3 linked regions of the Caenorhabditis elegans genome follow. The protein of the gene in region 3 interacts with the protein of the main gene of each other region in a pairwise test. Each region holds a gene or a part of one and is shown on either strand. Other genes may lie near its edges.

Evidence for each region.
Region 1: the proteins of C55C3.1 (region 3) and far-2 interact in a two-hybrid assay, tested with the Caenorhabditis elegans proteins (one large-scale study listed by BioGRID).
Region 2: the proteins of C55C3.1 (region 3) and umps-1 interact in a two-hybrid assay, tested with the Caenorhabditis elegans proteins (one large-scale study listed by BioGRID).

What each region holds. Positions count from the first base shown.
Region 1 is NC_003281.10:9,078,743-9,083,451, reverse strand, and holds far-2 (Fatty-acid and retinol-binding protein 2), read right to left. Parts: upstream 1,625-4,709; 5' UTR 1,623-1,624; coding exon 1,115-1,622; intron 1,043-1,114; coding exon 1,002-1,042; 3' UTR 941-1,001; downstream 1-940. Other genes in the region: far-1 (Fatty-acid and retinol-binding protein 1), read left to right, coding at 2,275-2,490, 2,544-2,749, 2,798-2,883, 2,939-2,979. UniProt on the Caenorhabditis elegans protein: Probably binds lipids.
Region 2 is NC_003281.10:10,354,197-10,359,821, forward strand, and holds umps-1 (Orotidine 5'-phosphate decarboxylase), read right to left. Parts: upstream 3,453-5,625; 5' UTR 3,448-3,452; coding exon 3,280-3,447; intron 3,205-3,279; coding exon 2,755-3,204; intron 2,700-2,754; coding exon 1,876-2,699; intron 1,824-1,875; coding exon 1,772-1,823; 3' UTR 1,641-1,771; downstream 1-1,640. Other genes in the region: T07C4.3 (ANK_REP_REGION domain-containing protein), read left to right, coding at 1-69, 111-449, 498-557; spp-1 (Saposin B-type domain-containing protein), read right to left, coding at 946-1,140, 1,190-1,321. UniProt on the Caenorhabditis elegans protein: Bifunctional enzyme which catalyzes the formation of UMP from orotate in the de novo pathway of pyrimidine biosynthesis. May also form UMP from uracil. Regulates the size of gut granules during embryonic development.
Region 3 is NC_003282.8:5,706,768-5,715,772, reverse strand, and holds C55C3.1 (BPI2 domain-containing protein), read right to left. Parts: upstream 6,678-9,005; 5' UTR 6,670-6,677; coding exon 6,487-6,669; intron 6,239-6,486; exon of another isoform or gene 6,218-6,238; intron 6,195-6,217; coding exon 6,082-6,194; intron 5,967-6,081; exon of another isoform or gene 5,946-5,966; intron 5,794-5,945; coding exon 5,713-5,793; intron 5,592-5,712; exon of another isoform or gene 5,571-5,591; intron 5,368-5,570; exon of another isoform or gene 5,347-5,367; coding exon 5,241-5,346; intron 4,873-5,240; exon of another isoform or gene 4,851-4,872; intron 4,835-4,850; coding exon 4,470-4,834; intron 4,392-4,469; exon of another isoform or gene 4,371-4,391; intron 3,869-4,370; exon of another isoform or gene 3,848-3,868; intron 3,703-3,847; exon of another isoform or gene 3,682-3,702; intron 3,650-3,681; coding exon 3,422-3,649; intron 3,395-3,421; exon of another isoform or gene 3,377-3,394; coding exon 3,183-3,376; intron 2,961-3,182; exon of another isoform or gene 2,940-2,960; intron 2,874-2,939; coding exon 2,755-2,873; intron 2,711-2,754; coding exon 2,536-2,710; intron 2,517-2,535; exon of another isoform or gene 2,496-2,516; intron 2,151-2,495; and 11 more.

The sequences.
Region 1 (4,709 bases), on a different chromosome or scaffold from region 3:
TGCAAGACATCACGTGACACAATTGAGCCATAGACATACTTTGTGGTTTGTAGTGTGTTATGAAGTGTCTGAAGCGTTCAGAAGATCCCTCTGATGAAACTGAAACAAAACATCTCATTGACTAAGGTTTGCAGGTACATCAAAGTGTAATGGGGTCAATGAAGAGCCTGATGAAATTGATAAAGAGATAAGATGATAGGGATTGGAATGTTCTAGATTCGATTGAAAAAGAGATGGAAAAGTAGAGATCACGGATTGACAAATGCTATGAAGTTCTGCAAATGAGCTTTACAAAAACGCGACCACGATGTCGCACTTTTAACATTTTCTATCAAAAATGTTGAAGAATCGAATTCGAGGAGCATAAAGAATGAAAATCTGTTTTTTTTAATTGAAAATACCATGAAATTCAGTTAATTACAGAAAGCTCCAAAAATGATTGGAAAAAATTAAGCCGCCAGATGTCAAATGCTTTAACTTTTTTCAAAGAAGAGTTGATAACAAATTGTCAATAACAAAAACAAAGAAAACGTTATGACCTATATTTTGTATGTAGAAATTTTTTTTGCAAAACCTATTAGTTTTTGACTTATTCTCTTTTGGAAATTTTGAAAAATTATCAAGTTTTCCTACCTGCGCTTTTCAAACTTCAAAAAACTATGCAACTTGTCCTTCCAGTTTCTGAATTACGTTGTTGGCAAATAAGCTACCGTAACCCTGCACTTTGTACCCAATTCTTTCAACTGCTCAATGGACCTCGGAACCATATTGTTTACAATCACAACAACCACAACAAAACCCATAAACTTTGTGAAGACAACTCGAAAGTTTCGAAAATGTGCTTTACGTGAAGCCGACATGTGGTAGCCATTTGGGATTCATTTCACCGACCAAACTTCAATTCTTTCCATCTTTTCTAGAGAACAATCAATCGTTATTTGAATTAAAATACTTTATTTTGGGGGAAAATAATTGGAAAACCATATCATAATTATTACTTCTTAGTTGACGTATTGTCCGACGATGGCTTGAATCTTTTCGTCTGAAAATAATAAAATTATTGTTTGAATTAAACAATTTGAATGCTCAAAAATCTCAGAATTTTAAAACTCACTTTGGAAGAATCCAGTGAGGATTGGGAACTCAGCGGTGATGGTAGCCTTGGCGTCATCAGAAAGAGCCTTGTATTCAGCGATGTATCCCTTGGCGAGTTCCTTAAGAGAATCAAGAGTTGGCTTATCTCCGGCGAGGTATTGTTGGTGGAGTTCACGTCCCTTGGCGATGATCTTCTTGACAAGAGCCTGAGCGGTGGCATCGAGTTTCTCGAATTTAGCGGTGAGGAGAGCCTCGAGCTTTCCAGCCTTCTCGTAAAGGGATGGAGACTTTTCCTTGAGAGCAGCCTTGAATTCTTCCTCGGTCTTGTATTCCTTGTGGTTTTGGGCGAGTTCCTTAAGAGCAGCCTTCTCCTCAGCGGTGATGGCCTTGAGGTGCTCGGCAACTTCAGCTGGGATGAGTCCCTTGTACTCGGCTGGGATGTCGTCGAAGTTCTGTGGAACCTCTGGGATTGGGGCAGAGAAGACAGCCACGGAGGCAAGGGCTACGACGAGGAAGGCGCGGATCATTACTGCAATATTTTAAATTAGGGGTGGGAAATTTTAAGGTGAAATAGAAATAGAAGGTGATATCAAAGTTAAAGAACCAGTAAACTAGAAAAAAGAAACCATTTAGCAAAGTTTCGAAGTAGAAGATGAAGCTTTGAGCTGCTTCTGCTGTGCCGATTCTGCTCCGCCAGCCGATCTTTTATACGACCTTGGATGATGTATGTTTGAACCTCGTTTCATCAACGAAATAGTGCGTTGAACCATGAGAGTTCCGATGAAATATCACGTTCCCTTCGAGACGCAGACCTCATTTTTCCCTTATTTCTATTATAAAAAACCACTTTTAGTGTAATGAAGTTTAGGAAAAAATGTTTCTTTTTTCTATTTCTATTTCGATTCCCTTTGCTGCTGCTGATTCTTCGCAACTGCTCTATCTCACTGACTCCGCCCATTTGAATTGCTCATTTTCTGAGTCTCTCAAAGGACTACACTCTCGCTAGTTGATTGTAATTCTTCTGGGGTCACCATGTGGTCCGCCTCTTTTTGTTCGACTTTAAAAGATGCTCAGAACAATGGAAATCAACACTTCAGTCTCATTTCGCTTTCTTCTTCTTCTTATTCTTCTTCTTCTTCGTCACATCCCCGATTCTCATAATCTTTCAAATTTTCAGTAATGATCCGTGCCACTATCATCCTCGCCGCTGTCGCTGCCCTCGCCTTCTCTGCTCCAGTCCCGGAGGTCCCAGAGAACTATGACGATATCCCAGCTGAATACAAGTCCCTTATCCCAGCCGAGGTCTCCGAGCATCTTAAGTCCATCACCCCAGAAGAGAAGGCTATTCTTAAGGAGGTCGCCAAGGGATACAAGGACTTCAAGAGCGAGGATGATGTGAGTCTGAAAATTGAAAACTCTAGACCAATAATCAAAATATTAAATTGCAGTTCTTGAACGCCCTCAAGGAAAAGTCTCCAACTCTCCACGAGAAGGCCTCCAAGCTCCACCAAATCGTCAAGGACAAGGTCAACGCTCTCAATGATGAGGCTAAGGCTTTCGTCAAGAAGGCTATCGCTGAAGGACGTAAGATCCACGCTCAATACTTGGCCGGAGAGAAGCCATCCCTCGACACCCTCAAGACCACCGCCAAGACGTAAGTTTCGAGAAAATTACAAATTTCTCTGTCAGGATAACATTTCAGCCACATCGAAGCCTACAAGGGACTTTCCCAAGATGCCAAGGACTCCATCGCCAAGGAATTCCCAATCCTCACCGGATTCTTCAAGAGTGAGTTTAATAAACTTCTAATAATTTTCAATTTAATAATTATATTAATTTTCAGACGAGAAGGTTCAAGCCATGGTCGGACAATACCTCAACTAAATTTCCATTTCGCATTTTCTTTTTGTTTTTAATGTAATAAGCTTAATGGTTGGTTATTGGTTTTCTATAAACTTTGAATCGCAATAAAAACTTGATGCTTTCTGTAATGACTCATTAAATCAGTAGCAGTTGGTATCTCAAACAAATGATGCCCTCACAACAGTAGCATTCGGGCCTCTAAGATAAATTACTTTTAGTGAAAGAACTGATCGGAGACAATTGGAAAGATTTAACGGAGAAAAAAGTCTGCAAAGTCGATGCTTGAGACTTGTCAATTGGCCATTTAAAAAACTTGCACAGAAGTTGCTAGAGATTGGAATTTAAAAAAAACCTAAAAATCAAAGTCCCATCTTATTGCAAGCCTGTCAAAACTTATATTGTTTCAAGTACTCAAAATCAAATAGCATCCTTTCAATTAAGAAACATAACCATATTGATTTTAGGTACTTGGGATCAAATAGCGTTATTTCAGGTTCTAAACAGAGGAATTCACTGTGCTTTAAGGCAGTTGAAGCACTATCCATAATATCTGACATCCACCATCCAACGCTGAACGAGAATAAACGTTGATGCATCTTTGTTGTAGGACCCGAACGTTGACAATCCAGCAAAGAAGAGAATTCCGCCATCCATTCGATGAAGTGTCCAGCTTGTCCAAATGTTTTAAAATGACATAATGATGAAGTTGTTGAATTTATAAAATTATTGTTATCAAGATGTACTTGATTAAAATTTATTTTTAAAAATCATTTGTTATTTTCGACGTTACTGATTTTTATCTATTTTTATACTTTTCACTCATTTCTCAATTCTTAATCAAACCAATGGGCAACTCATCCGCAATTTTCAGAGCGTGTTCAAGATTCTAAAACCACCTCTATACATCAATAATACTATAATGCACAACTAACAACAAACATTAAATCTTTCCAATCATATAATCCCTAATCTTTTCAATCTGCTTCTACCATCTCCAATCATACTCCCTTCTTTTGACAGAAAAATTACGATTATTTTACAATAAGCGGCTCAGATAATCTGAAAAGTATTCCACCCACAACGTCTTAAATTTTCTACACATAGAATAGAAATGCACAAAAACAATCTCGACTTCATTTTTCTTTCACTTTTTCTCTTTTCTCTCTCCGTGTATGTATTTATTTTTTATTTTTCCTTGTGACTTCCATAATCCGCGCACGGCCTCTATTTCCGTACACAATCTCATCTCTTTTTACTTTCAGCATTTTTTTGCGTTTATCTCAGAGCACACATTCATAATTTACATTTTCTCTGAACCTTAGTTTTTCTCTGAAGTTTTTTTCAAAAATTCCGACGGAATATCGGAGGCAATTGGCAACTTTCGTGCAAATTTCGAAAACCTATTTCAAACTTTCAACAAAAAAGTACTTTTGGTTCCAGATTGAGCAAACAGTTTTGTATATTACAACACTAAAATTGAATAAAAATAATAAATAAAATAGCTTATTATGAAGAAGTGTCCCAGCTCTTCTGTGTCCATTAATCGACTGCGGTTTTCTCCTCGAATGAGTTTCTCTTGGTTCTAGAACTTTGCTAAAATTTATAGGTGTAAAGCCTGCATTTTGCCGTTGTAAAAGTTATAAATTTTCCCAAAAGTACGTCGAACAATTTTTCCACTTTTCTCTCTCTCGGAAAACAATTTCCAAAAAGAAGGAGTTCCAGTATTTCTTTGTTAGTCAGTCTCTCCATTT
Region 2 (5,625 bases), on a different chromosome or scaffold from region 3:
TCGGAGATCATCACAGTCATTGAGACTCCATTGAAGGATGATCACCGAAAACGAGCAGATTCCGTGGAGGTTTGCTGATGCGATTTTCTGAATTAAATTATTAAAATTAGTTTCAGAGTGACGCAGATGTTCCATACTCATTGTGCAGTGAAGATGAAGCGGAACCGATGACAATGATCGACAAGTCGATGAAAGTATCACAAAGTGCCGAGCAGTTGTCCCCTGTAAAAGAAGAGCAGAAGGCTAAGACTGTAGTAGTCAACGTCGAGCTGGACGGCAATCGTGCGGATCCCACAATCAAAGATCGCATTGCAGCACTGCAGGCGATAGTGTCAAAGCAACATGTGCCAATCGCAAAAGTGGACAGCGTCGACGATGATGTCAGGATTCTCAGCAGAACCGAGGAGCTTCAACATATGGCACTGGAGGCGAAACCTTCCCCTCAAGCGGTAATTATAAATATTGCTCAAGAAAGTATATTTATTTTAAATTTTCAGCTCGGAGCACTCCGCCGCCGCCACGTTCGATTCATGCGAGGATGCTGCGTTGTCCAGTAGACTTCACCTCCACATCTCACAATCACTCCTCACATCCACGTGTCATAGTGCTTAATTGGTGCTATTAAATCGCCGCTGTAAATTATCAGTCCTCACCACACTCTATATTTTATCCAGATAACTTTCTTTTGTATGTGTGTGTGTGTTTCGAGACAATTATATTCTAATTTCTAATTTTATACCCCCTCCCTTCTACCGTGTGTGGTTTTCTAGTTTACGTGTTCTCAGGGTAGCTGAGAACTTTTCCCCCATTCAACAACTAGAACCAACACGAGTTCTAATTTTTATAACTCTAAAATTCCACGCGCACAAACCAATTTCGCCGTTGTTTCTGTTTTTGTTAAATGAAAGAATATTTTGATGATTTTGAAGGAAACATTTATTATTCTTAGCACAAATCAACATCCTTGCACGCCTTGTCTGGAGAATCCTTGTTCTCAATATCCTTTTTCAGCTCCTTCTTGACCTTCTTCAGCTCTTCCTCACACTCGTGATGCAACGGCAACAGCATAGTCCAGCAAAGAGTTCCGATGTTCACATCAAGCCATGCATCGAGATCATCATCTCCAACCTTCTCTCCACCCTGAAATATGTGAATAACGAGGAAAATTGGAGATATTTGGAGCACAAACCTCGACGAGAGCCTTGCAGACATCACAGAAAACACCGTGATGCTTCTTGAGATTGAGTGGGTTAGCTGGATTGGCTAGAAGTGGAGCAGCGGCGAGCAAGACAAGGAAAAGACACGGAAGAATGCGAGTCATTCTGTAGATTTTAAGATGAAAAACTGGAGAAATGAAGCGAAAATGCACCCGGAGCAGTGATGCTCGTGTCTTTTATCAACTTCGCGGCGGCACTGATAAGGAATCGAATCGTTTCTGATGTTTTCAGCATGGAGGAAAAGATCAAAGGACATTATAGAATACACACCGGGTCGTTCACACATCAGATGCCGATTTTTCGAACTGATAAGATCGCTTAGAGGAGTAGCTTTTCGCCTTGACGGAGAAAATATTGATTAATCAGGTTAGCAGTAAAGTAAATGGTGTGGGCATGTGATTTCTTGATAATTTGAGGAAGATGGAGGCAATCAATTTACTTATTTCAACAATTCTGGGGAAGCTTGAACAAAATCAACAAAGTTAAATAAATACGTAATTAGATAAATATTCACATTTCTTCTTTACAAATAGGCTCTCCGGATTTTTCAACTTTCAAATGCTATCGTCGCTTCTCGTGAGCGCATCCCAGGCGATTTGTCGATATCTGAAAGAGAAAATTGACATTTAAAAATTTAATTAAAAAAAAAAAAACAAACCTCTTGAGCTGCTGAACGGGCTCACTGGACGACGTGACGCCTCTTCCGACGATGATGATGTCGTTCTGCTGTACTTCGATCGCCTCGTCGACACCTCTCCACTGCTGACCGGCCGAGTCGGATTTCGCGTCGAGATTCACACCGGGCGTCCAATTGAGAAGATCCGAGCAAGCAGACACTCTCGTCTGAGTGATGAATCCAGAAATCACGTCACGATTCTCGTTGGCAATCTTGACGGCGGTCTCGGTGTATCCTTCCAGCGCAGTCAAAGATCCTTTGGTGCTGAGCTGCGCGATGAGGAGAACTCCACTGAGCCTGTAAGTCGGATCTTTGGCGAGCTTCCTGAAGACTCCTGCAATGCTGTCACTTCCTTGTACGGCATGAACAGTCACAACATCCGCCCAGTTGGCGATTTTCTGGGCTCCAGTGAGCTGAAGAAGGTTCGTGTTTCCAGTGTCGCCAAACTTCCGATCCTCGAAAATGATAAAGTCCATATCATTTGCCATCGTCGTCAGCTTCCTCGTGAATTCCTCGTTGAAATCGGTGATAGCGTCGGCGTGAAGCTTGATCGCCAGCACAAATGGACCAGCGAGCTCGATCATCTGAAGGCACTGCTCGACGGTAGTGTAGTCGACAGCGAGACACAGATTCGACTTCTTCCGGCGCATGATTCCAAGAATTTTCTTGATGAGTGCAGATTCTGTGAGGGATTCGCGTTCCGCAAGCGGAGTTCGCACGTTTTCCACGTACGGTAGACTGGACAGGTTTTCGAGCTCGCTGTTGATTTCCAGCTTTGTTGGGGAGGTGTACGGAAGGTTGAGAGCCTGAAATAATCAATTATTTTATTTTTAAATAGAAAATCGAGATAATTTGACTAACCTGAACAATTCCGTGCCACTGCTCGTCACCGATCGCTCCAGTTGAGTACAAGAATGTGAGAACTGTTTGCATGTCGAGCAGGCTGTGCAGCGTGACACCCGCGTCCTGGAGCTTCTGACGCCCGCCTTGTTCTCGATCCAGAATGCAAAATACATCCGAGGCGACCAAATTCTCTGTGTGAAGCACTTTTACCACGTCCAGGATGCTTCCACCTGTCGTCACGACGTCTTCGATGAGGATCAGACGATCGTTTGGCTGGTACAATCCCTCGATGAGCTTCTTCGTGCCGTAGGACTTGGCCTCTTTGCGAACGATGAGCAGCGGCTTCTTCAGATAGTTTCCAGCGGCGACTGATGCGTAGGGAAGAGCCGCGTATGGGATTCCAAGAACTCCAGCGTACTGAACCTCGCTAATCTCCACCTGCTTCGATATCGCTTCTGAGATAAGCATCTGGAAATAGTTTTCTTTTAAATAAAAATCATTAAAATAAGCTATTATTTTTTTTTTAAACTTTAAAAAACTCACCAAAAGCCCCGGATGCCCAAAGCATTCGCGAAGATCGATATAAATCGGTGAAATCTGCCCAGACTTGAGCTGAAACTCGCCGAATTTGAAGACGCTCGCTTTGAGCATTTGGCGGAGCAGATTCCGCTTCAGGGCTCCATTTCGGGTTTTGTCGGTGAGCGAGCTCATTTTCTCTGAATAGTACGATTACTTTTTGATGGAAAATAGTAGCGATGAATGTAAAATATAACGATAAGACTGAGGGAGATAATATATACTTGTGCAGAAAGCAGTAGTACGATTTGATAACAAGTTTTGAAGCGGAGAAGAGTAGGAGAAAGAGAACAAAGAGATTGATTGATAAGAAAAAGCTTGGGAAAAGAAATAAAATTGCATTTTGTTCAGATTTCTTAGTTTTACAGCGGGAAAACAGAAAAAGAACGAAAATTGGATTTGAAAAACTATTTTTTGAAGAGAAAACTTGAAGGTTACGGTAGAAGAGAGACAATGCGATGGAGAGAGACGCAGAGAAAGTTGCGTAACATTTGGTGTGCTGTACGCAACACAATGAGAGGGAATTTCAAATTTAGTTTTTCTGCGGGATCTTGTCGATAAATTTAATTAAGTTTTATTTAAATAGGGCTCGAGAAATTTTAAGATTTAAATAATGATTAATCAAAGATATGATGTTATAGTTTCAAATGAATATAAGAAAAACAATTAATAAAAATTTCTCAATGAAAAATAGATGCATTATTTTAAAAATTGTCATATAAACATTATAAACATTATATACCCCTCTAAAATTTTTGACTAGTGACGATCGATATTCCCCAAACGCGAACAGCATATCTGACGCGCAAAATATCTCTTAGCGAAAACTACAGTAATCTTTAAATGACTACTGTAGCGCTTGTGTCGATTTACGGGTTCGATTTTTAAAATTAACTTTAAGAGAAAAGGGAAAATAATACGAAAAAACGAATGAAAATGATATTTCGATGTTACTATTCGAAAAAAAATAACTTCAAAAATTGAGCCCGTAAATCGACACATGCGCTACAGTAGTCATTTTAAGAATTACTGTAGTTTTCGCTACGAGATATTTTGCGCGTAAAATATGCTGCGCAATACGCATTCTCAGGATTTATAGTATTTTAATTCTAAGTTTTCATCAAAAAAAACGTTGTCGGAAAAATTATTTTTTCAAATAATTCAGGCGGGAAATTCAAGCAGTTTAAAATTTCCGAAAAAATTTTGCGGGAGGCTCGAAGTTCTGAATTAAAAAAATCACAGGAACATTTTAAATTTTTAAAATTGTTTTCAGTCAATCTTTACAAAAAACAACATTTCCAACACTTTCCCGTTTCTCCCATAAACTCATTTTCCTGCCCAGCCAAAGTTGTCGTGGTGTGTTCAGTGATGCGTTCACCCAATTATGAGAGCTCTCGAGAGATGACGTTGTTCCTCTTTTCCCCATTCCAGCAACACATTCTAGAGCAATTTAACTAAATTGAGTGTAGCGTGAGTGAGTGCGCGTCCCTTCTAGAAAATAGAAAAAACGAAGCGAAAAAAAGAGAGAGAGAGAAAGGAGTCTCTCGAGAAGCTCATTGTGCATAGTTTTGGAAATTTGAAAATTGCAGAAAAATTCAGCCTCACGATTTTCCCAATATCATGACCCCTGCCTAACTTTGAATTAAAAAAAAAACATTTTTTCTTGAAAACTATTAAAATATATTGTTGAATTTGTTTAATCGCACTACAAATCAGGGGTGGGCGGCAATTGCTCCGGCAAATTTTTTTGTCGACAAATTGCCGGCTTGCCGATTTGCCGAATATCTGATTTGCCGTAAATATTTAGAGGGATTTTTTATAAGACGAAAATACTTAAAACTGTGCCTATTTGAACTTTTCCCGTTTTCTTTAGATATTTTTATATAATTTGCTTACTTTTAAAAATAGATGTATGAACATTCCTAGGATGTGTACAATTTTGCCGATTGAAATTGAAATTCTGAATTTCACAAAAAAACCACAATTTGCCGGTTTGCCGGAAAAATAGTTTTCTGCCTACTCCTGCTACAAATTATTATTATTCAATTTCCAGATTTTCTTCTTCTCCTCCTCCTCTTCATCCTCAATAATTGTATATCCGGGGGTGAGTGTATGTATGTATTTTATTGCCTTTCCTCTCATTTTCCACCCACATTTCCCCCATTTCCTCGTTTTCTTCATTCTTTTTGTTTTTTTTAAGTCACGTCATTCTAATTAGTGGGTGGGAATTTTTCAACAATATTTTTTAATATCTATGTGTTTTTAATAATCCTGATACTAAAATTTTTAAAGAAATCGAAAAGGTTGCTCAAA
Region 3 (9,005 bases):
TAACCTTCAAATAAACATCTTTTTACTCCTAACAATGCAAAGAGCACGGAATTCAAATAAAAAATAATCAATTGAACTCAGAATCAAATACTAAAAATGTTTTTTGGAGATTTATATTTCTAATTGTTCAGTACTGATCGTGGTTAATATTGAAAAAAGAATAATCGAATATTGAAAAAAAGTTCTTGAAACAGAGAACAAATATTTTTTACTAAAAACTAAACCTGGTTGAGAGTAGAAAACACGAGAATGATGGGAATAGAAGGCAAAAAATGCAATTTGATTTCAAAATTGACTTTTGTTTTTTCTTGCACACACAACTTCTGTCTGACTTTTCGTACTTTTTTTCTGTTGGCTCAATTTCGGAAGATTCTCGTCTTTTCTAGTTTTGAAGTACTTAACATTTTCTGAGTACCAGTCGTCTTTTTCGTTTTTTTTTTGGAGAGATGACTACAAAATAAAGAGGAATGAAGAGAAAAAAGGTTTCCGAAATTAGATAGGGGGTGCCAAACATCTTCTGACAAAAAGAAGGAAGAGTATGAAGAAAGACAGAAAATTGATGAATCTTTCAGCGGGGAATAGGAGAAAGAAAATCGTGTTGAAAGAAAGTAGGAAAAAAGGAAAAAAAAAAATAAATTTTTACTTTTTTTTGGGTAAACTTTTTTCAGGCGTTTTTTTTTGAAAAGTTGCAAGATAAATGAATGACATGTCATGAGACAGCATTTTAAAAGAAGAAGAAAATTGATGATATCATGGGCAATTTTTATTGAGAGGAAAAAATTACTGGAAGAAAAAATGGACGGAAACTTTTAAAACATTTTCTGAAAAATATTACTCTGACTGAAACTTCTTAAATTATCACGATGGAATTTATTTTTTTAATACGGTTTCTGGTAAGCTTCGAAGAAAAGTTTAATACTGAAAGTAACTTTTATGTTTTCAAATAATAAATTACTGTTTCAGAACAATTTTAAATTGATATTTGTTAAATTTGCTCTGATGATATTAGATAAAGTTATAGATTACTCTGTTTTTTGGCAGTGAAATAAAATAAAACTTTATTAGGCGGGTTTTTATCAAAATGTTTAAAATAAGTGTTCCATCATGTTTTATTTTTATCTTAAATATTTTTTCTGTCAGAAAAAAGATTTAAATTTATGTGACTTACTTGTTTAAAAAGTTATGCCAACTTTGGGTAGAAGTTTCCTTTTACAAAGCTATGAGCATATTCTGAAAATCCGTTTAGTTCATAGCAGTGATTAAATGACTTATTTTCAACTTCAAGCCGTTTTTTTCCACAACAAAAAAATATGTTAAATTAACAAATTTCATATGTACAGACACTTAAATGCAACCCGTGAAACAGCAAAACAGGTGTGATACAATCTGGACTAGAATAATGATAATTTCAATGGGCAAAATAATACAATTCATTTTTAACGAAATATTCTTCTTCCCGAATCGGTTGACCAATTGTTGAAATTAAACTGAGAAATTTGTTGGCGGGCCTCCAGGAATGGAACGGGACGGACCATGCGTCGGAGTGGGCCTGAAATATTTGCATTTGGAATTTCGTGAGTCATAATAAATGTAACGACCAAGCGAACATTTTATGAACTTCATGAAAATGTAAATTCCCATGTTAAGAAAAAATAAACTAACTGAGATTGACATCTGAAAACTGTGGAGTCTTGAAAAATGTTTGAGATGCCAATTTTGATAGCCTCCTCTCATCAACATCCACATCAACTTGAATATGCATTCGTCGGCTCAGAACATTAATGTGACTGTCCTTGATTCGAAGCACTGAACTTTTTTTTAAAATTAAAATATTATTAATTTTTATGCTGTTTCAGATTGTCATTTAATAGTGGTCACTATATTTTTTTAACTAATATGTACGTAACAACACACTGGCGAAAAGGATTTTCATTTAAATAAATTTAGCTTTTTTTCAATATTTTCAGTGGGCGATCGGAAATTTGGTTTAATTTGACTAATACATGTTTTAGGACACAAAAACCAGTGAAAAAACCTAATAATCAACTGTATTGTTTGATTCAAAAACAAATATTTTCTTATACTATTTCAGATTGTCATTTAATAGTTCTAATTAAGTTTTTCACTAATGTTCAACGCTAAAAATTTTTTATGTACCTATTCTTTCTTGCTTTTGAACTATGCGACTCATTCGGCTACTTCAATTACCATAGCAGATGTTTTTTTTTTCAAGTTTAACAAAAATGCTCTCTGACGTTTTGTTTTGAACAGTCGTTTTTACTATAAACTTGCTTCGTAATAATTTAAAAGTAACAAAATGCTAGGAATTTAAGCCGTATCAATTCAAAAAAAATTTTTTTTTGAGGCTTCAGTTCATTTTCTCTCGCTCGAAAAACATATCCTACTTGCAAACAATTTTCTCAAGTTAGGTATTTTTTAAAAGATTTACTGTTTCAAAGTCTGTATAAAAATAATTCGTATCAATTTACTGTTAATTTACCGTTTACTGTACCCTCAATGTATCAATTCGCTTACCATGAGGAAGTGGAATAGGCATACCATTGACCAATAGCCCATTGAGAAGGTTTTCAGACAACTGACTGACTAAAAGAGCAATATCATCAATTTCAGCATCAGAAATATCAACTGTTCCCGTTCGACGCTTTAGATCAAACTTCCGAAGCTCCACAGAACCACTCACGTTGTGCCCCTTAAAATTGGAAACTTATGGTAATGTTTCACAGAACAACTAACCTGAATGGACAGTCTTGCATCTGCAACTACATCCAAATCTACCACAATAACCTGTCGACGCTGGTTTCCGTTTACAGCAAAGACCACAACTAAACCTCCAAGTGAAACGGAAATCGTTCCTGAAAATTCAAAAAATTTGCTGTTTCAGGGAGTTTTTATAATTTTATTCTGCAGCAGAGTTTCAGTGAATCCAATCAATTTTTTGGTATTTACTTTTTCATTTTCTTGGCTAAACAAAACTGAAAATATGTTAAAAGGATTCCGTAAAACGGATATTTTCAAAAACAAAACTTCAACCTTAAAATGAACCCTTGATTGATACCGAATTGTGGTACAAATTTTAGTTCAACACAATGTATCAAAGATGTATCAAGAACTCAGACACATTTCTTTTTAAGTTTCCAAAAGTCCCAGCCCCCAGTACTCACCTCCATTTTTTTCACTGAAAAGCACTGCCGGAGCTCTTGTGGCACTCATTGCCAGCTCAACAGTAGAGTTCGGATATTGCTCGGCGAGCTGTGGAGCCAAATCAGAAATACAAAACGATCCTTCACACGTTGTTCGTAAGAATGAGGAGACACCCTTTGTTCTTGGAGTTAATAATACTTTTATGAATCTTTGTCTAGAATAAATCAACTTATTAAAATTTAAAAAAAGATGAACTTACACATAGGCATGATAAAGCAGTGAATTTGGTAAAAAGTCGGATACAACTAATTCAATCATCGAGTCTTTATTTGTCACTGAATCTACAACATTTGTCTTGAAAGGTGATCTTCCTGGCCATGAAGCATCAACTGGTCCAAATGGAGTGTCGCCTTGTCCCATAAATGAGATTTCACCCCAAGATGCTAGTTCTACAGTGTTTTCTTGGCAAATTGGGTGTTCTTTTAGTCTGAAACAAAGTTTGAAGAATGTGGCAAACCTCTGCGTCTATGGAAAATGGCAATAGCAGAATTATTGCTGTTACGTTAAATTTACTAGATGAAACAGTAAAAAATCAAAATTTTGAACAGCTACATTTTGGATCAATAAAAAAAAGCTCAAACTTTTTTAAAAATTTGATATCTTTCCAAATCTTTTACCAAAATGTTGAATGAGCTTACAACATTTGAGAACTTTTTTTTTTTAAATATATGCATCTCTTTTTTGAGCCCATTTTTAGTATACATATCTCGGTAAAATCCCGAAAAAGAAAATTAAATTGAAAAACGAAAAAAAAAATACTGAAAGTATATTATTGCTTTTTTTCCTGGTCCGCTATTCTGAAATTGGTACTGACAAGTAAAAATAATGTTAGACGCGAAGGGTCGGAAATTTAAAAAAAAATTAAAGTAAAGTAAAATTTAATGCATGAAAAATCGTAATTTTGCACCGCCTTTATCTAGCTATTTCTTCGATAATTAAATGTTTGAAGCCTTATATTAGATTTTGATAAACTTAAAAACGTAAAACATTTTTACAGGATGTTTACCATTTTTTTTCTCAAACACGATATTTAATTTACTCGAAACAAGTTTTTCAATTAACAATGATCATTTTATGTTTTCGAAGTTTATCAAAACCTTATGAAATTTTCATAAAATCCATCGTTGAATACCAGAAGCAGAAAAAAAACTTATGAAAAAAAGACACCAGTAGAGCTCAAATGAAGCTTTTTTGTCAAAATTACACTTTGAAACAGTAAAAATTTGAACAAATAAATATCCACATACCTGAAATCAATGAAAAATTTGGATGCCAACGATGAATCAAATATGCTTGAAATATCAATTCTTGATTTCTCATCTCCTCCAACCGATATCATTTTTAATGCATTTGTCTCCAAAGCATCTGCCAATTTACTTGATGTTTGCGCTTCTGCCAACTTCTCATTTGCATCTTCATCTATATATTTTCGAACTTTCTTGCAAATTATTGTTTGAAGCATATGCCGGACATTATCGGAAACTCCTTGTTTAAACACTGAAACTGCTAATCCAAAGAGTCCTCCGTTGTGATTTGTAACAGTTACATCTCTGATTGTGGCAAGGCAAGACAGAGAAGTTACTTTTGCTGATCCATTTTTACCTTTTTCGATCTAAACATTGAGCTACAGTTATCGCAACTTCAGATAAATTGAAAAACAAATTTTGTGCAGAATTTCTAAATATACCGAAACAGGTTTTTTTTTTCAAATTTTTTAAAACTTTATTTTCAGACTTTTGAAGTTTATACGCAATTTTGTTCCCATTTTGACTTCAAAATTGAACGTGAACACGAGTAGTTTGCCCCTAGCCGATTGTTTGAAAAATTTGAGATCCCCCAAACAGTTTTTTTAAAATGTGTTTTATTGTTATATTTTTAGAAAATTGCAGTTGTAACATTCTGCCGACTATTGAAAACTAACTGAAACAGTAAAGATTTTTTAAAAAAATTTTGCTGAATACTGCATTATTTTACTTTCAGTTAAATAAAAATTGTATGTTACTTTTTAAAAAACTCACCGAAGACTCCAAATGAAAAGTAAGTCCTTGTGCAAGAATCTCAACTTGTCCGGTCAAGTTAAGTGGAACCACTATGTTTACAGATCCACTCAAGTCTCCTAATAATCTGAAACAGAAATTAGGTTGAACAAGCTAGAACTTTGACGAAGTTATATTAAATTTTGTTGAAACAGTTATTTTTTATAGAAATGTGCACTTGAAATAATAAAAACGCAGATCGTGTTAGATATCAAAAATTATGCCTAGTTTTTTGAAGTATCATACGTTTTTTTTTTTCAACTCAAATTTTGCCGTTAGTTTAAAGATAAAAAGTCAAAAATTTTAAGCATGTATTTTTGAAATCACGAAATACTAGACTTGTTTTTTGTTCTTTCATTTAAAATGTATTAGAAACATGACCGATTTGGGAGCACATTAAACACCTTTTTTGACATTTACAAAGTATTATGCAAATTTTTCCACAAAAACTAACCCAATATCCATATTCTGCATAGTCCATGAGATTTTATTTGGTGCCGTGGAATTTAGTTGATGATGCTCCGCTCGGCGGAATCTGGAAATTTCTGGATTGTTTTTTTAGTGCAATTGAATATTGAAATTATCAGAAAACATTTTTAGAACTTTTTCATTTCCAACAAAATTTAAACGAATGTTCAAAGTGTTTAATAACTTCTAAATCTGTTGAATTTTGTCCAAATATTTTATTCGCTAAACGTCCTGTTACAACTTTCTTATTTGTTGCAACATATGTTTTAATCTTATAACTGGAACATGTAATTTTTATGGTTTTCTTATTCCGTCTTTTTAATCTTATCACAACAATTGTGTAACGATACCTTACCGTGATAAATGGACTTTCGAAATGTAGATAATACCCTGATTACTTGGCAAAATGTGCTCGACGTCTGGAAGTATGAGTCGGGGCAATTGATCTGCGAGTAGGTTGGCTGCTAACTGAAATGTTTTTATTATCAATTTTTGAAATAGTGGAACAAAAAGCACACTTTGAAAAAATTAATTCAATTAACAGATTCGTGAAACATTGAAAAATTTCAACTAATTATTTTAAAAAAATCACTAATGAGCAAAATACTGGAAACTGAACATGAAGTCAAACTTAAAGTATTTGAATTTATATTTCCCGCGCAAATGAATTTACGAAGAAATCGAATTCGATTTTCTTCGTTGTTGCCGGAATTTTTCAGTTTTTATTTTTGTGCTAACTTCTACTACGAGAAAAACCTACATGATTCAAGTAGGCCAATCCACGTGGCAATATTCTGACTCGAACTCCTGGAAGTGTCCGTGGAGCAGCGAGAAGTGGATGGAAATTGTGTTCACTGTCAATTGAGCCGATAAAAGTGATAAATAGAGCGGAAGCCACTAAAATTAGAAATGATGGGAAGTTTTGATTGCAGCATCTCGTCATTAATATCTGGAAATTTATTGATTAACTGTGAAACGGTATGAATAGAAAAATCGAAAACTATATTCTAACCAAGTCGAAGATTGTTCAAAGTGACCATTTATCTCTCAATTTCCTTATCAACAGATAGGTCACACTAGCTGATAAAGTGTAAAGAAAAGGATAAAAGTGAGAAGAAGCCAAAAAGGTGACAGTTGTATTTGGCTAATTGGCTAATGCATTTCTCTTTTTGCAAGAACACAACGTGTTCTTGTGGATTTGATCAAACTATTGGGATATTGGGAAATATTTCAGTTATATTTAAATTATTTTGGCTGAAAACTATTTCCGTAATTGGTTACATTGAAAAGTAGAAGCTCGACATGCCTGTACCATTCAAGGAACTGAAAAGATTGTAATACATTTTAATTTGATAAGTCTTTGAAACGGTAAAGATATTTTTCTTCAAAACAAAATTTTAAAACACCACAAAACATTTTTGTAATTTTTTGTTTCTTTCATGGTATGTGGAATGTTTTAGAATGTTTTATTTAATGCTTTGTTTTATTTAAGTGGAATGTTTTATTTAACCCAGCGTGGAATAATTTTTCAATAAACTGTTGAAGTATATGTGGATATGTTGAAACAGACTATCATTGTAATGCCGAAGTAAATAAATAAAATTTTTGAAAAATGTAACTTTTACTGATTCATGAAATTGTTTTATTATTGTCAACAACGAAACGCAATGATGAACATGTTCTTGGGATATTTATAGCTTTTTGATTGAAGCTTATTTTGTAAAAATTTTTATCAATCACAAAAAAACCTGCAATTTGTATGGATTCATGTTGTAAAATTTTACTGTTATTAAATTTTTCCTGCGATAATTTGAAATCGAACTTTGAGCTATAATGATACTTTTTTAAACACTGAGTTTCAAACCTGTTGTTTCGAGAGACATATATCCTCGAGGTTTACATGTTTTCTTGTATACTAAACCCAATAAAACTAAAAAATCCAGACATGTTACCAAAAAAATTATTGCTGGTCTGAAAACGGAGATGGAAACCGATAGTGTGAAAAACTGGAAGAGAAACATTTTTATCATGACCAAACAATTACTTTACAAATAAACTATTTGAATATGTGGACATGTTGAAATAGACTATCTTTGCAATTCCAAAATTCAACCGAAGTAGAACCCACAATTTCATAATCACATCCAAAAATAATTTAAAAATTATTGTGCGGCAAATTTGACGAATTTGCCGAATTTGCCGTTTACCGAGCTTGGCAAATTTCAAAATTCGCCGCACACAGCAACAATTTGACAGTACAAATTTGACCAAAACTATTGATTTTGTCCCCAAAGATTTAGTAAAATGACACAAAATTGAATTATTTTGATGATTAAGCAGACACACCACAAGGAGTTCATTCAGAAACCAGATGTGTGGTAAGAATTCAATAGATTTGGTGCTCCAAAAAAAATTAAAAAAAAAAACAAATTTTTCGGAGTTTGTTAAGAACTGCAAGTATTGGAAAAAGAGATCTGCCAAATTTGCCAAGCTCTACAAATGTAAAAAAAATTTAGTGGGCAAGATAGTGGGAAAAAGAGTGAGACTAAACAATTATTCAATAAACTATCTAAATATCTGGAAATGTTGAAACAGACTATTTTTCCAATTCCAAAATTCAAACGAAGTAGAATCCAGAATCTCATAATCACACCCAAAAATTAATTTAAAAAAATATACAAAATGTTCAATTAATTCATTTAGAAGGTTTACACATTTGTTTGCCTTGATTTCTGAATTAAAGTGCTGATCTGAGAAAACACATATATCTAAAAAATTATAGTATCTTTGTGAAATTGAACAAAAACCCAGAACGTTAGCTTCACATTTACCAGAAAAAAAATCAAACTAGAATATCCAGATCGTACTAAAAATCGCCGCCAAAAAATAATTTTCGGACTAGAAACACGAAGATGAAAACCAAAAAGTGGCAACAGCTGGAAAAGAAACATTCTAGTTAGTGATTATGAGATAAAAAAGAATCAAATGGAATAAATGAGATAGTACTCAATTGAAAAGACAGAGAAATGAAGAAAACCCAATTGATGAATGAAAAGCATAAGATGGAGTCTAAGAGAGAGAGAGAGAGAGAGAGAGAGAGAGAGAGAGAGAGAGAGAGAGAGAGAGAGAAGAGAGAGAGAGAGAGAGAGAGAGAGAGAGAGAGAGAGTTGCCTGTCGCCAAGTGTTGTAATCGGAAGGCCTTCCTTGGATGGCATATTCTTGTATTTCTGCTTTCTTCCTCTCATCAATGTTTCCTTCATTTCTCTAATCCCCTTGGCT